Tamandua tetradactyla: one gene and its partner. The protein of the gene in region 1 binds, or shares a complex with, the protein of each later gene. Links are inferred from orthologs where the notes say so. Each region holds a gene or a part of one and is shown in the gene's direction. Other genes may lie near its edges. The genes, in order: SYMPK and SSU72.

Region 1 (7,561 bases):
GTCTAAGAGAAATTGTCGTTTGTTGGTTGTACCATTATTTTATGTATCAATAAGAATGGAAAAATAAAACACTGTCAATTACAATTGTTAGACACCATCTACTGTAAAATATATCCCATTCTCAGAGGTATTGAAATGGCAGAAAATGTGAATCTTAGCACTATAAAGTATAATAGATACTTCTCTCTCTCTCTCTAAATAACCCTCTATATATTCTTTCTTCTTAATCAACAAAGGGTTCTTGGCCACTGCTCTGCCAGTTACTTTGCTGGGGCTGTCTCCTTTAATCTTCCTTATATCTTGAGGGAAGGCTGCTTTTATAATCCCATTTTATAGTTGAGGAAGCTGAGGTCCAGGGGCAGAATTGGGATTCTGAATCTAGGCAGCCTGGTTCCAGAACTTGTGATCTGTATCATGCTATAAAAGCAGTGACCAAGACAGACAGAAATGTCTGCCTTCTTGGAGTTGATAGTCTGGCGGGAAAGACACACTGAATAAGTTAAACCTGGAGAATATGAAGTATCTCACGTGGTGGTTTCTCTCTTTCGGCAGCTATCCACCCCTCTCACCTCCTCCCTTCCATCTACTCTCCCCCCTCCTCCACCTGCATCTTTCTCTGCCCCGCTCCCTTCCCCAGGGAGCCTGGGAGGGAGGTGGTCCCACCACTGGCTGGAGTCCCATGGCACTGGGGTGCTGTGAAATCTCTGGCTGATGCCACCTTTGCTGTGAGACTGTGGATCTCATCTCATCCTCTGCACTGTAAGCATTTGCAGGCCCCCAGGGTCAAAAAGAAAAAAGACTTGCCCAGGACCATTCAGGGAGTCAGAGATAGGTGACACCCAACCCCAGTTGAGAGGAAACCCTCCCTTCTCTCCTTCCCACTTCCAGGTTGCTGTTATCTCTTGTGTTTGTCTGTATGTCTTCCCACTGGGGCGGCTGGTTCTGCCCCCTCCCCAGATTAAGGAAAGAGATGAAAGGAGAAGGTGATGGATTCAATGGGATCAGAAAGTTGGGGAAGGATTCCCAAATGCCTTTCCCACTCTCACTTCTCCCAACTCAGTCGAGCTGTCTGGTATTGCAGAGTAAAACAGAGTAGGACCCCAGGGCACTCCTTTCCTGGCTCCCCACCCAGCCGGAAGTCCTTCTGGAGGTCTGACCTCAAGCACTCCAGCTGCTCTAATCCACCCTAGGCTTTCCCACGCCCCAGGGCAGGGATGAACCCCCAGTGTCCGGGTCTGAGCCGGATCTCCCTGCCACCAGGGCGGGGTTGAGATTGGGGGGAAGCCCTCCGGGGACCTGCACCCCCTCTCCAGGAGGCTGGAATTTCTCACCTTTCATTTCCTTATTGTCTCTGGGGGAGGGTATGACAAAGAGCAGAGGGAGGTAGTGTGAAATCAGAAAGAAGCCTGGTATCCAGCCCCAGTCCTAGCCCTGACATCACAGTATTCCTCTAGGCTTGGGTTTTTCCATCTCTAAAATGGGGGACCAGTTGGACCATCTGATCAGTAAGAACCTGAGGTTAACAGGGATACCCCAGGGTGACAATTGTCCAAGTTCTCTCCTGATGAATGGACAGCCTGGGGTGTCAACATTATCCTAACAAGAGGGTATAGTGCTGGGTGTGTGCAGCTGTTTCTCCACCCCCATGGTTCTGACCCAGAGAAGAACTGGGCTCACCTGATGGAAGGGCTGCAGACACCCACAGACAGTATCCTCCAAACAAATTCCAGGCCCCTGTAAGTCAATTCTTTCAAGATATGCCCTCAAGTGTTGATCTGATTCCTATTTTGAACACCTCTAGACTGTTCTTTGATTTTGGAATCATCTATTGTCCATACACATTGTCCCTTAAACTTGAATCCATTCAGATTGAAGCCCAAATTTTGACTCCTCCGGTCCAGAAACCCATGAGTTTTTTTAAATGTGCCCACAAAACATTTATTTGTAGGTGGTTTCCTTGAACCATGTCCCCAGACTCAGCTCTCCAGGGGTCCAACTGGGATACCCCTTCACTGCACCCCCCTCACACTGTCCAAGAGCCTCCACCTTCCATCCTAGTCTCTGTTTTCCCCATTTCACAACTGACACCTCTGGCCGCCCTGCCTCCCCCTCTCAGCCATCCCAATCCCTTCCCCAGCTGGCCCTTCCTCACCCTGCGTGCACCTCACCCTCCACAGCCCCAGGATTGGGCCCTCCCAGGTCCCTGGCTAACCTTCGCAGGCCAGGGGATCCAGGAATCCCAACCTACAGTGTCAAACTCCAGACCCAGGGATAAGGCACACCAGGGATCCTGTAACCTCAGGTTTCAGCTCTTTCCTTGGAGAAACCAGCCATTCCAACCACATAGTCCCCTTTCAGGTTAGGAACCCAAGACTCCAGACTCCCATAACTCTCACACCACGACCTCCTCCTCCAGACCAAACAATATTGACTATAAAGAAAGTGTGCTAAGGAGTCCTTGAGCAAGTGGAATGGGAGTTCAACTTGGGGAAGGACTTCCTGTCAGCTGGAATCCCCCATCCCCAAATTCATCTCAGAGGTCTTGTCTGAGATGGGACTGGATGAGAACCTTAACAATTGCTGGAGATTGCTGGGGATGGGGGTTTAACCTGAAGGCCCCCAAGAGGGGAGTCCCGGCTGAGGGTGTCTAATAAGAGTTAAAGTACTAAAATTCAGCCAGGACGGGGTGAGGATCATGAAGAGGAATAGGGGGAGGAGACTGTATTTCCCACTACCCCCACTAGTGCTGATGCCCACATCTCCTAGTCTCTAACCTGCCTATTATCTCAGACCCCTCCACATTGAAGCTTCATCTCTGAGTGCCTCCATCTCTTACCCTGGAGCGCCAAGCCCTATACCTGACCCTATCTTAGAGGGCCCAGAACCCCCATCTTTAACACCATATTCTAACCCTCAGCTCATTCCTCACTCCCCTCTCACAGCTGCACTGGCTTCCAGTTCCTTGATGACAACACTTACACTCTTTTAGTCCCTATATTTCCCTCAACTTTGAGCCCCATTTCCAACCTCCCAGCTCTGTCCCCTATCTTAGAGCTCTGATTCCTATTTTGGGTTTGTTGACTTTGGATCCCGAATACCCAGCCCTCACGTTTAAGCTAAGACCAGATCCTTGTCAAACTTTTCTCGACTCCCATTTAAGCCCTCACCCCCCAACTCGCCTGTCCAGACCGTTTACTCACGCTCTGTCCCTGCCTCCCACACCTGGTCTTCGTGTCCCTGGTTCCACGGCTCCCAAACTACATGCCTCGGCCCCCATTTGAGCCCCAACCCGGGTCTCTAACCCTCACTTCCCGCTCCACCATCCCCGAGGACACACCTCGCCCGCCTCGGGGTAGTAGCTCCACTCGGCCAGGTCGTGGGCTTCCATCTTCACCGAGCCCAGCATCCCCGGGGCTTGCGCCCCCACCTGCCCCCGCTCGGGCCCCGGGGAACCGAGAACTTCGGAGCTATCAGCGGATATGGCGGGAGTTCCGACCGGCGCCCGCCCGTCTGACCGCCCGGGGTCCCCGCCGTCCCGAACGCGCCGCTGGAGGTGGCCTCGCTTTATAGCCGGGACAACCCCCCCCCGTACCGCCCCCACCCCCGCCGTTCGCCCGCCCCAGGCTCCCCTCCCGCCTCCCCAGGACGGCGCGCTCGGACTAGGGCGCCCCCTGCGGGATTGAGAGGACCTCAGGCGCCGGGAGCCGCAGCCGGGGGCGCGAGAGCAGGTGAAGGCTGAGGAGTGAGCTACTGGTGACAGGCATTGCTGATAGGAAGGGTCCCGAAGGCAGAACTCTGGGGCCCTACTGCACCAGGGGTTTTCATTATCTCGACATGAAAGGGCGAATAGCCAGAAACTCGCGTGGCAGTCCCGGAGGAAGGGGGCGCAGCGTCCAGGGGTCCCTATATACGATTGTAAGGACCCTTAAGAGTCCTTGAAACCACACTCCCAATGGACGAAGGGTAGATTGGGGCTGCCGACGACTGGAAATGCTCCGGTCTGTGTAAAACGTCCAGGCCAAAGATGGAGGAAATAGGGATCTCTTTTCAAATCCCTCTAGGGCAACAGACCACCTTCAACACCTAGGGAGCTTCGCCTTCGGGGCTCTCCACTCCCCGCGACACTAGCCGTCCAAGGACTCAGGACCACCGTGAACTCCATTTCCCAGAAGCCTCTTCCCCCCTTTCCGCCCCGAGCCTCCGCCACGGGACTACATTTCCCAGAAGGTATGTCTCTCCGAGACAGGAAATGAGGGGCCGTCCCGGCGAATGCCGGAGGGAGGCGGAAGTCCGAGGGCGCCGCACGAGACAGGGGCAGACACGGGCCGCGGTCTGGACTGCATTTCCCGGCGGCCCTGCGTGCGCAGCGCGTGCGCAGTGTCACGGCGGCGAACGGAAGATGGCGGTAGCGAAGTCTGTGTGAGGCGCTGCTGAGGGGCCGCGAGGGGGACTGAGGCCGGAGCCGCGGTGAGCGGGGAACGGCGTGGGGACCCGGGGACGATGGGAGGAGGGACTCTGAGAACACTGGGAGAAGGGCGCAGAGAAGAGAGGGGAGCAGGGCGTCCCGGACCTCAGTATCATCCCCTGCTCAGGACCCTTCCGTGGTTCCCCAGTGCCCTCAGGGCAAAGTTCCAACGTGGCCCCCAAGGAGCGTCCGCTCCGCCAACCGCGCCAGTCTTGTCTCTGCCTCTTTGCTCACTCCCCACGCTTTGAAAGCTGCACTGGCCTGTCGGTTCCTCAAATTTGCTGTGCGCCTCCCTAAGGGTTTTTGCATTTGCTGCCTGTCTGCCCTTAACATCCTTTTACCCATTCATATAAGCTAACTCCCATTCATCCTTCAGCCAACATCACTTCCTCTGAAAAGCCTCCTTTTCTCGCTCCCCGCCCTCCAATCCTGTTAAAGGATCTCATAGGTCCTTGGTCATTTCCTTCATGTCACGTGTGTTATTAGACCTTTATTTAAGTAACTACTGATGATGTTTGTGTCCGTGAGCTCCACGAGGGCAGAGACAGGGTATATTTAGGTCACCCGTGTGTACCCAGCACAGCTCAGGTCGCACGAGAGACGCTGAGTAATGTTTGCTGAATGAATGAAAGATATACCGTGGGCCACTCTGTGGCGTGTACGGGGAAGCCCTCATACTCCCAGATGGGAGTAGGGCAGTGGTACTCGGTGAGGACTGCACTGGAAGGGAGGGGGAAGCAATGATGTGGGTAGAGGAGGAGATTCACTGTGTTCTGCTAGGTGGATGGGTGGCCATGGCCCTGGGTTTTTGTGAGCTGACCTAGGGATGGAGAACCAATTCCTTTCTGAGAGACAGCGCTGATGAGGACGGATTCTGCAGCTACACTGCTGGCTCTTCTTCACTTTACAGGCTGTGTGCCTTTAGTCAAGCGATTTTATCTCCTTGACCTTCAGTTTCCCCATGTGTAGGATGGAGATTAAAATAGAACCTACCACAGAGGGTTGTTTTTTTGTGTGAGGTTTAAACTAATTAACAGACATCACTTCCAACAACTGTTGAAAAATTGGGCCCTGCATGTTAAATGTTCAATAAATAACAGCTGTTACTATTTTTCAAGCGTTCCAGGGCCGAAGGGCAGGGGATGTGAGCCCACTGATTGGGAATACTCTTTGATAGGAGTCAGCATTCACTGAACAGATATTTATTGAGTACTTACTGGATGCCAGGCATTGTTTTACATGCCAGGGATATAGAAAATGAGCAAACCGACCAAAAAGAAAAAAAGTATCTCCAGCCACTTGAATTTCAACAAGCATGCCAAGGACATGCTGTGGGGAAAGAATAGTCTCTTCAACAAATGGTACTGGGAAAACTAGGTGTTCACATTCAGTATAATGAAGTTGGACTCCCTACCTCATGCCTTAGACAAAAACAAATCTAAAATATATCTAGGACCTAAATGTAAGAGCTAAAACCATAAAACTCTTAGAAGATAACATGGGACAAATCTTCCCAACTTTGGATTCCACAGTGGTGTCAGATAGAACACCAAACACACGTGTGACAGAAGAAACAATAATTTTTCATCAAAATGAAAAAATTTTTGCTTCTTAGGACATTGTCAAGAAAGTGAAAAGACATCCTACAGAACAGGAGGAAGTAGTCACAAATATATATGATGAGGACTAAATATCCAGAATATATAAAGAACTCTTACAACTCTACCACAAAAAAAGAGACAAACAGCCCAATTTAAAAATGGACGAAGGACTTATACATTTTACCAAAGAGAATGTAAAAATGGGCAATAAACATGAAAAATGCTGAGCATTTTTAGCTATTAGAGAAATGCAAATCAAAATAGCAACAAGGATGGCTATTACTAAAAATGTGGAAAATAACTTGAGAAATTGTAATCCTAATACATTGTTGGTCGTAGTGTAAAATGGTGCAGCTACTGTGGAAACCAGTATAGCTGTTCCTCAGAAAGCTGAATTAAAATTAACCATATGACTTGGCAATTCCACTCTTAGGTATATACCTGAAAGAATTAAAAGCAGGGATTCAAGCAGGTGTTTCTACACCAGTGTTCATCACATTATTCACAGTGGCCAAAAGGTGGTAGCAATCCAAAGTGTCCATCAGTGGATGAATGGATAATGGAAATCTGATCTCTCCATACAGTGGAATATTATTCAGCTGTAAAAGGAATGAAATTCCAATACATGGCACAACATGGATGAACCTTGAAAATGCCAAATGAAATAAGCAAGGCACGTAAGGACAAATCCTGTATAATTTCATTTATATGAAATATGTAGAAATGGCAAATTCATAGAGACAGAAAGTAGATTAGAAGTTACCAGGGTGTGGAGTGGGGGGCGGTGATGTTTGGAAATTTTGAAAAAATAGAAAAGCCTTTGCCCTCATGGAAGTTTTAAATATGTAGTATATTGATAATAAAGCCTATGGGGAAAAGTAAAGCAACACAGGGAAGTAGGAAAAGTGAACTGAAATTTGAAACAGGGTAGTCAGGGAAGACCTCACTGAAAATATTTGAGTGGAGACCTGAAGAAAATGAGGAAGGGGGTTCGGATCTGGGGGGAGGAGAGTGTTCATGGTATAAGGAAAAGAAGCACCAAGGCATTGAGGAATGGATGTGCTTGGCATGTTCGGGGAATAGCAAGGAGGCGAGAATGGCTGGAGCTGAGAGGACAGAGTGGGAAATGAGGGCAGAGATTGGAGGGACCAGATCATATAAGGTCTTTTAGGTCTTGGTGGGGATTTTGGCTTTGACTCTGAGCAAGATGTGGGGGTGACAGGCAGCAAGGAGGGTAAGGAGGAGGCTGTCATTTTCATTCAGAAAACATCTATTGAATAGCTCATGTCTATAGTATATGAAGTTCCTTTTTTTCATTAATTTTTAGTTTTTTTTAAAATACCAAAAAACACCAAACAAATGCAAACATTCGTAACTTTTGATCATTCCGTTCTACATATATAATCAGTAATTCACAGTATGATCACATAGTTGCATATTCATCATTGTGATAATTTCTTAGAACATTTACATCTATTCAGAAAAAGAAATAAAA
Region 2 (8,100 bases), on another chromosome or scaffold:
CTGACTGCCTGAAGTTCCCCCGCAGCTCACTGGCACACTGCTCACATTCTTACCCCTTCTTTCTTTCTGTCTCCTTTTGCATGGGTTCTATTACTTTGTCTTCAATTTAACACATCTTCTCTTCTGCAATGTCTAATGTACAATTCATCCCATCTAGTGTATTTTTTCCTATCAGATGTTGTGGCAACAACCTATAAAAGACAAATTGGTAAGCTGGACTTTGTAAAAATTAAAAACTTCTGTCCTTCAAAAGGCATTGATAAGAGAATGAAAAGACAAGCTACGGACTGAGAGAAAATACTAGGTTAACAATAAGAAGGCAAATAACCAATGAAAGATGTACAAAAGATTTGAAGAGACGCTTCCCTTCAAGGAGAATGTTCAGATGGAAAATATGCATATGACGATATGCACCACTTCATTGGTCCCTATATAAATTAAAACCACAATGAGACTTAAATATAAAAGCTCGAACTATCAAACACCTAGAAGAAACCGTGGGGAAGCATCTTCAGGACCTTGTGTCAGGCAATGGTTTCTTAGATTTTCCACTCAAAGCACAAGTAACAAAAGAAAAAAATGGATAAACGAGACCACATCAAAAAACAAAACAAAACTTTTGTGCCTCAAAGGAGTTTTCATGAAAGTAAACTGATAACCTCCACAAAGAGAGAAAATATTTGGAAATCACACATCTGATAAAGGCTTAATATCCAGAATATAGGGAAAAAAATCCTTTAACAACAAACAACTCAATTTAAAAATGGGCAAAAGACTTGAATAGATATCTCTCCAAAGAAGATATACAACTGGCCAATACATGAAAAGATGAGCTGTCAGAGAAATGCAAATCAAAATACGATGAGACACCATTTCACACCCATTAGAACAGCTATTTTTAAAAATAGACTGTTGCTCAGATGTGGCCTCTCTCAGCCAACACAACAGGCAAACTCACCACCCTCCCCCTGTCTACGTGGGACATGACTCCCAGGGGTGTGGACCTTTCTGGCAACATGGGATAGAAATCCTAGAATTAGCTGAGACTCAGCATCAAGGGATTGAGAAAAACCCTGGAATGAGCTGAGACTCAGCATCAAGGGATTAAGAAAACCTTGACCAAAACGGGGAAGAGTGAAACGAGACAAAGTGTCAATGGCTGAGAGACTCCCGAGTCCAGAGGTTATCCTGGAGGTTATTCTTATGCATTAAGTAGATATCACCTTGTTAATCAAGACATAATGGAAAGGCTGGAGGGAACTGCCTGAAAATGTAGAGCTGTGTTCCAGTAGCCATGTTTCTTGATGATGATTCAACAATGATAGAGCTTTCACAATGAGACTCTTTGAATGTGAAAACCTTGTGTCTGATGCTCCTTTTAACTACTATAGCAACAGAAGGGTAGAATATATGGAATAAAAATAAATAATAGGGGGAACAAATGTTAAAATAAATTTAGTTTGAAATGCTAGTGGTAAATGAAAGCAAGGGGTAAGGGGTATGGTATGTATGTATAATCTTTTTTTTCTCTCTTATCGTTTTATTTCTTTTTCTGTTGCCTTTTTCTTTTTCTAAATCGATACAAATGTTCTAAGAAATGATGAATATGCAACTGTAATGATATTAAGAATTACTGATTGTATATGTAGAATGGAATGGTATCTTAATGTTTTGTTGTTAATTTTTTTAATTAATAAAAAATAATAAGGTATGATATAGGGTTCTTGTAGTTAATGCATGACTGTTCTGAAAGCTCACAACTTCTCTAATAAAGAAAAAGAAACAAACAAAAGAGCGCACAATGAGATACCACACCTTAAAGTGTCTAAAAGTAAAAAGACTAATCATACCAAGGGTTGGCAAGGACACGAAACAACTAGAATGCTCATACAGTGCTGGCGGGAACGTAAAATAGTACATCTCCTTTGGAGAACATTTTGGCAGTCTCTTGAGGAGTTCAGCATACACAAAAACATATCATCCGGGCGTTTCCCTCCTGGCTATTAACCAAGGAGACATGAAAGCCTCTGTCCATACAAAGACTTGCATATGGGTGGTCACAGGAGCTTCATGTATAAAATCCAAAACTGGAAATCCAAATGTCCTTCCACGGGTGAGTAATAAACAGTGTGCATGGAAAAACTGCGGCCTATCATAGAATGGATTATTTCTCAGCAATAAAAAACAAGAACCAACCATTGATACATGCTACTTGGATGGATCGCATAATAATTATGCTGAAGTGATAGTAGCCTGATCAAAAAAGAGTATATACTGTTTGATTCTGTTTATATAAAATTCTAGAAAATGCAAACTAATAAATAGTGGCAGCAATCAGATCAACGGTTGCCTGGGAAAGTGGGATTCAGATCAGGGGGAGGGCAGGGAGGAATTATAGAAGGTTATGAGAGAATTTCTGAGTGGTATGTTCATCCTCCAATGTTAGAATTGTTTCACAGATACAAACAGACTTGTCAAATTGTACGCTTTAAAATGTCGTTTATTATATGTCAAGTATAGCTCATTGGAGCTGTTAAAAAAGTTGTCTTTACTACTCATGGACCAAAAGCTTGTTTTAAAGTGTTCAGATTGTTCTATTATTCCCAGCTCTTGAGGAATTTGTGATTCTATTTGTTGAAAATGCCAAATTTCCTTTATGGCAGTTCGCTGTGTGGTCTCAACATTTTATTGGGAATGTACATTCAAAGGTGGTTATTCCTTCTTATGAAGGCCACAGACCCAGGACTGTGGAAAGGACCTAAAGGATAGAGTCAGCTGAAACTGGAGATCCCAGAGATTCTAGACTAGCCATAATATTATTTTACCTTGGGTCCCCACATCATAATGGAAGAATAAATCTGGGCCTCAGATGCGATGAAACACCCATGACCCCCCCACGTCTCCGCAGAATGGCCATGTATTACCTGCAAGGACCCTTGGTGCTTTCCCTGGCACCTTCTCCCTCATCTATGTGCTCCACGAGTACTCAGTGTCTTCACAGGGACAGCGGCTCTAAAAAGCCATTTCAGCATATAGCAGCCATTGCACATGATGATGAAAAGGTCCCTAGCCTTTTAGAATTCATTCTGGGAATGGGGTGGGGCCGAGGAGCAGAACACTAGTGTTCAGAACCACAGAAGCAAGTTGGAGAGCTGGGAAAGGCCCCAAGTCAGTGAGGGAAACAGAGGAGGGAGGGAAGAAGCTTTCTTGGAGGCAGTGACTTTTGTGCTGTGATAACTGGCCGGGCAAAGCAGCCCGGGGAAGATGGGTGTTAGGAAGGGAACTTGAGTTGTGGAAGCAGCACGTGCAAAGGTTAAAAAAAAGAAGGTATGGAGGAGTCCACCAACAGATAAATGGATAAACAAAATGTAGTTTAACCATACAATGGAATTTCAGCTTAAATTAGAAATGTTAGAACATGCTACAAAGTGGATGAATATTAAAGACATTACACTGGGTGAAATATGCCAGACCATAAGAACAAATAGCGTATGATCTCTCTTATAAGAAATACTACTGTGTATGCAGCAGGCGGGGAAGTTGCCCTCATTCCTTCTCATTGATCTATCCTCCATGTCCTTTGAAGCACATGCTTTCTTGTTGCAGTCATCCACTGACCCCTGACCATGCCCCCTGGGTCCCTAGAGATCTTTAGCACCTGGTGTTCAGCCTTTTTCTCCATGGGCACAACGACAGGAGACTCCAACCGTTCTGTGTCAGGGAGCCGTCTTCCATTCAAGACTCTGTCACACCTAGCCTACAGGCTACCTTCCCATCCCGCTTCCGGCATCCCACGCGACCACCCCTTTGCTCCAGCGACAACTCTTCCACTCCGCTGCGATCGACGACTCAGCGCGCACAGCCCCGGCCGCGACCTCCTCCTGTTCTCAATCCTCGTCTCATCCAGTTCCAATGCCGCGGAGGCTCGTCGCCAGTCCCTAGCCCCTCTCCCCTCGGTTGCACCCGCACAGCCGAACACCCCTCGCTGCCCGCCTGCGTCCGGCAGCTGGACGTGGCTGTCGAGAAGCGCACACCGCGGAGCCGTCCCACGGAACCAGGGCCGCAAGCTCTCGCGAGCCTGCGGTGCCTCCCAACAAGCCCACCGGCAGGCCGCAGCCCATCCGCTCCAGCCCGGGACGTCTCTCACAGGCCCGCCCTCCTCACGGCGCTTTGTTTCCTAATGCTTCGGAGAGTCCATGCTAGGAATCACTTCCGGCAGCCGGGCGACGACGTCCGAGGTCGCCAGCGGACGCTGGGGCCCTGACTGGCGTGGCGGGAAGGCGACGGAGAAGGCGGGCAGGCGCGGCGTCTAGGCTCAGGCGCGCGGCGTGAGGAGAGCGGGCAACGCAGGCAGGACACTGACCAGCACCCCAACCTCGCTCCCTCGCGGCGAAGACGGCGACGGGACGCTGTGACGTCACGGACGCCGCGCGACGCCTAGGGAGGCACTGCCTGCGCGGGCGGGGGCGATGTGATGCCAGGGGCGCCGGCGCAGCGCTTTAACGTCACTCCCAGCGACCACGGCGGGGGCGATGTGACGCCAGGGGCGCCGGCGCAGCGCTTCATCGTCACTCCCAGCGACCACGGCGGGGGCGATGTGACGCCAGGGGCGCCGGCGCAGCGCTTCATCGTCACTCCCAGCGACCACGGCGGGGGCGATGTGACGCCAGGGGCGCCGGCGCAGCGCTTCATCGTCACTCCCAGCGACCACGGCGGGGCGTTGTGACGCCACGAGCGCCGGCGCGGAGCTCCGGGCTCGACGCCCGCGAGCCACTGAGCGGACCGCGGCCTTCGGCTGCGCACGCCCGGAGCGGACGCCGGACGCAGCACGCCTCTGCTCGCCGACAGCGGCGCGCTGCCCGGGAAGCCGGCGCTCCCAAAGGGCGGGGCGTCACCTCTGCCCGTGGGTCGGGCGCTCTGGGCCGGCGCGAGGAGGCCGCCGGCCCCGCGCGTCCTGACGCGCTACGTCCCCGCCGCTTCCGCATCGCTGACTTCCGCCTGCGCTGCCGCCATTTTGCTCGCGCGGAAGCGCCACCGCTGGGTGGGAGTCCCGGCGTGGGAGAGTCGCGGCCGCCGCGGACGGTGCCGCCACCGCCATGCCGTCGTCGCCGCTGCGGGTGGCGGTGGTGTGCTCGAGCAACCAGAACCGGAGCATGGAGGCGCACAACATCCTCAGGTAGTTGGAGCCTCCGCCCTAGCCCGGCGCCCCGTCGGACGCCGGCCGACCGGCTGTCCCTCCCGCCGCCCACCCCTTGCCCGGGGGCCCGTGCCGGACGGCGGGCGGCAGCCCCGGCTCTGGCCACCCCGCAGGCCTGCCGCTGGCCGGGCAGGGCGCCTCGGCCGAAGGAGGCCCGAAGGGCCCGCGGCTCGCGACGGCGCGGGGCGGCTTCATTGACGCGCTCGTTGGCTCCCGCGGCGCCGAGCGTAGCGAGGAGTCCACCAGCGCTCTGGCCGCCGCGCCCCGCTCCGCTCGCCAGCGCGCCGTGTCCCGCACGTGTGCTAGCCTGTCGGGAAATTAGCTTCTTTACCGACATGTTCACGTGTCGCGGAACTCTAAAGTTCCCAGTAAATCCGCAAAGCTGGTGGTGGCTGCAGCCAATTTGCATGCATTTCTGCCTATCTGAGAACTAGCAGGCTCCTCTAAAATACTCCACGTGATGCGGTGAATGTCAAGAGCAAGGTATAGGTCTGAGCGATACTAGTGTCCAACGATTGCTTACACAACGTAGCCTCAGGTAGAATGACTCTTTAAAAAGAGCAGGAAAGAATCTGTTCACCATATGAATTTGTGGATTTTCTACTATCTACATTTTCAAGTATCGCACACCCCTCCCCACATAAAAGCCTTCAATCGGGAATTTCTGGAACACAAGTGAATTCGGTATATTTCAGTATTCATCCTTTGTGACCTCTGTGTTGTATGTGTTAAATAAAAGTTGAATCCCGTTTGATAAAGTTTCTTCTTTCTAAAACACTTTCATTACAGTTAAAATGTACACATCAACTTCCATAGTAGAACAAAGTTGAAACCCCCTTTTTTCCCTATGTTTCCACACGTGGACTTTAAAGGAAAACAGTGCCTCGCTTTTCTTACCACTTTCCAGCTACGAATGGGGTATTAGGCACCTCGGGGAAAATTAGAATCTCGCCACCCCCCCCCCCCCCTTGTTTTTATGAATGGGGATGTTGATTTATGTAAGCTTTCCCTGATTATATCTGCTAACTCTGAGTTACTTTATGGTTGGATTTTTCTTCCTAACATTTACCACACTGTTCACTGTGTTTGCTTGATGTTATTTGTTTTGTAGGGTGTGATACGCTTTGAACCTAACAAATCAGTGTGAAGGTTGTTTTGAAAAGTGAGTGTTCTGCTAGAATTGTGATGGGTCTGAGCCCAAAACAGCAATTGTCTGTAGAGAGTACCCTTAAAAGTTTTATAAATGTAAGCACAAGGTTTGCATCCCTAGAAAACAAAATTACCCAAGGGAAACAAAATTGTTTTCTCTAATTGAAATGACAAGTAATCTGAGACCTCATTCTGCCAGTCTGGCTAGTGATTCTGTTTCTACTCTAAAGCTCTGTGCAGCCAAATAAGAGTGAAATCTTACAAAACAAAGTTTTAATTTTTACGTTTCACAACTTTGTTAAAATGAAATCGGGTTTAGTGACTTTTAAAGGCATGCCAATCTGAGCCTTCCCTGGGTCTTTCACTGCAAGATAAGTCCTTGTTCAGTTGAAAGTGGCTGTAGCAAGCACAGCATTGGGTCCCTTGTGGAATGGGGGCGCAGAGCGTATTACCTTCCAAGTAATCACCAAGAGGGGATTCTTAGGTGTCCTCCTACCTGCTTTACTGTCTTCCAAGCTTACTCCTAAAAAGCAGACTTAGAGTGAGGCAAAAGGAGGTAAGTTTAGAGTAATGCTGTCATTGTGCTGTGAAGTCCTGTTATCTTAGGCATCTCTACTTTCTCAGTTGCTTATATTTGGAGAGTGTTTTCCTGTTGAAATAGCTTATTTTAATTAAAAAGATATTTACTTCTACAAAAATTACTGTTGAAAATACGCTAGAAGATAAAGATTACTTGTAGGATACCATTTTTGGTATACTTCTGGCTATCTTTCTTAAGCACATGTGCACTTATGGGGAATCAAAGTACTGTTTTGTAATCTCTTCACTTAATACTAGGAACATATTTTTTTAATCTGTTTATTCATAGCAAATAATTGAGTGGTCAGAAACTATGGCACAGTGATCCAGAGGAGCCCTAAGCAGCCATTAATTTTGTAACTAATCCCCCATAAGTAGGCTGTTCCCTACTTTTCAGTCTTAAAAGTGTCAACATCCTGGTGGTGTATAAATATCTTTACAACACCCTCTTCTGATTATTTCCTTGGGGTCACTTCCTAAAAGTGGAGTTGCTGAGTTAAAAGGCTGACATGTTCTACATTTTCGTGCAATTTGTTAACTGCATTCCAGAAAAGTACAGAGTTTCCATTTCCTCATAACCTGGGCATTATTTTTATCTTTGCAGACTGGTGGGGTAAAAAGGATCTCACCCTTGCTTTAGCTCTAAAATTGCTATTAAGATTGAAATATCACATGTGATTTTCATTTTGGAAAACTACCTATTCACTTATCTGCTTTTTCTCCTATTTGGATTATTTACAGGCTTTTAAAAGCATCTTTAGGTAATATAAGATAGTTTTCTGTTAGAAGCTAGGAGAATTTATAAAAAGTCAAATTTAGAGACTTGTATAGGCCTTAAAAATGATTATAAAAAACGTAGGAAAATGCTCATCATAAGGGAAAAGCTGGAAAATTGTGCGTGCAGTTTAGTTACAACTAAAACTACGTAACGTATGCAAAAGAAAACTTGAATGAAATAGACCAGAAGGAATGTAGTTAAGTGAACATGCGTAGTTGGTCCATCAGAAATCCTTTTTTTATTTTATCCTATTGAAAATCAGCTTGGAATGTATTTTCCTGATAAAGACAAGTGGTAATAAATGTTGACATTTTCTAGAGCTAGTCATAATGTTCTTTGGGATGATAATTTTTTTTTATCTTTTGAAACTAAATGTTTTAAGTTCTGGCAAGGAAAT

Evidence for each region.
Region 2: the proteins of SYMPK (region 1) and SSU72 are in contact, whole or in part, in a crystal structure (PDB 4H3K), measured with the Homo sapiens proteins. The link is inferred for Tamandua tetradactyla from reciprocal best matches to the Homo sapiens genes SYMPK and SSU72. Residues at the interface, in NP_004810.2 of Homo sapiens: Val123, Lys127, Leu131, Gln135, Asp175, Asn176, Asp177, Gly178, Thr181, His182, Lys185, Glu188, Pro204, Arg205, Arg206, Gln207, Ser250, Ile251, Thr254, Thr255, Asn262, Ala290, Ser292, Gln293, Ser295, Ser296, Lys299, Asn300, Leu303, His304; in NP_054907.1 of Homo sapiens: Glu113, Tyr116, Asp117, Val120, Asn124, Glu127, Gln128, Glu129, Thr130, Cys131, Gln132, Pro133, His135, Asp167, Glu169, Asn170, Asp173, Gln177, Glu180, Thr186, Phe187, Leu188, His189, Thr190, Val191, Phe193.

What each region holds. Positions count from the first base shown.
Region 1 is NC_135342.1:15,201,650-15,209,210, forward strand, and holds the start of SYMPK (symplekin), read left to right. Parts: upstream 1-4,347; 5' UTR 4,348-4,467; intron 4,468-6,650; exon of another isoform or gene 6,651-6,739; intron 6,740-7,561. Other genes in the region: FOXA3 (hepatocyte nuclear factor 3-gamma), read right to left, coding at 3,338-3,406. UniProt on the Homo sapiens protein: Scaffold protein that functions as a component of a multimolecular complex involved in histone mRNA 3'-end processing. Specific component of the tight junction (TJ) plaque, but might not be an exclusively junctional component. May have a house-keeping rule.
Region 2 is NC_135328.1:223,386,035-223,394,134, forward strand, and holds the start of SSU72 (RNA polymerase II subunit A C-terminal domain phosphatase SSU72), read left to right. Parts: upstream 1-4,903; 5' UTR 4,904-5,096; coding exon 5,097-5,176; intron 5,177-8,100. UniProt on the Homo sapiens protein: Protein phosphatase that catalyzes the dephosphorylation of the C-terminal domain of RNA polymerase II. Plays a role in RNA processing and termination. Plays a role in pre-mRNA polyadenylation via its interaction with SYMPK.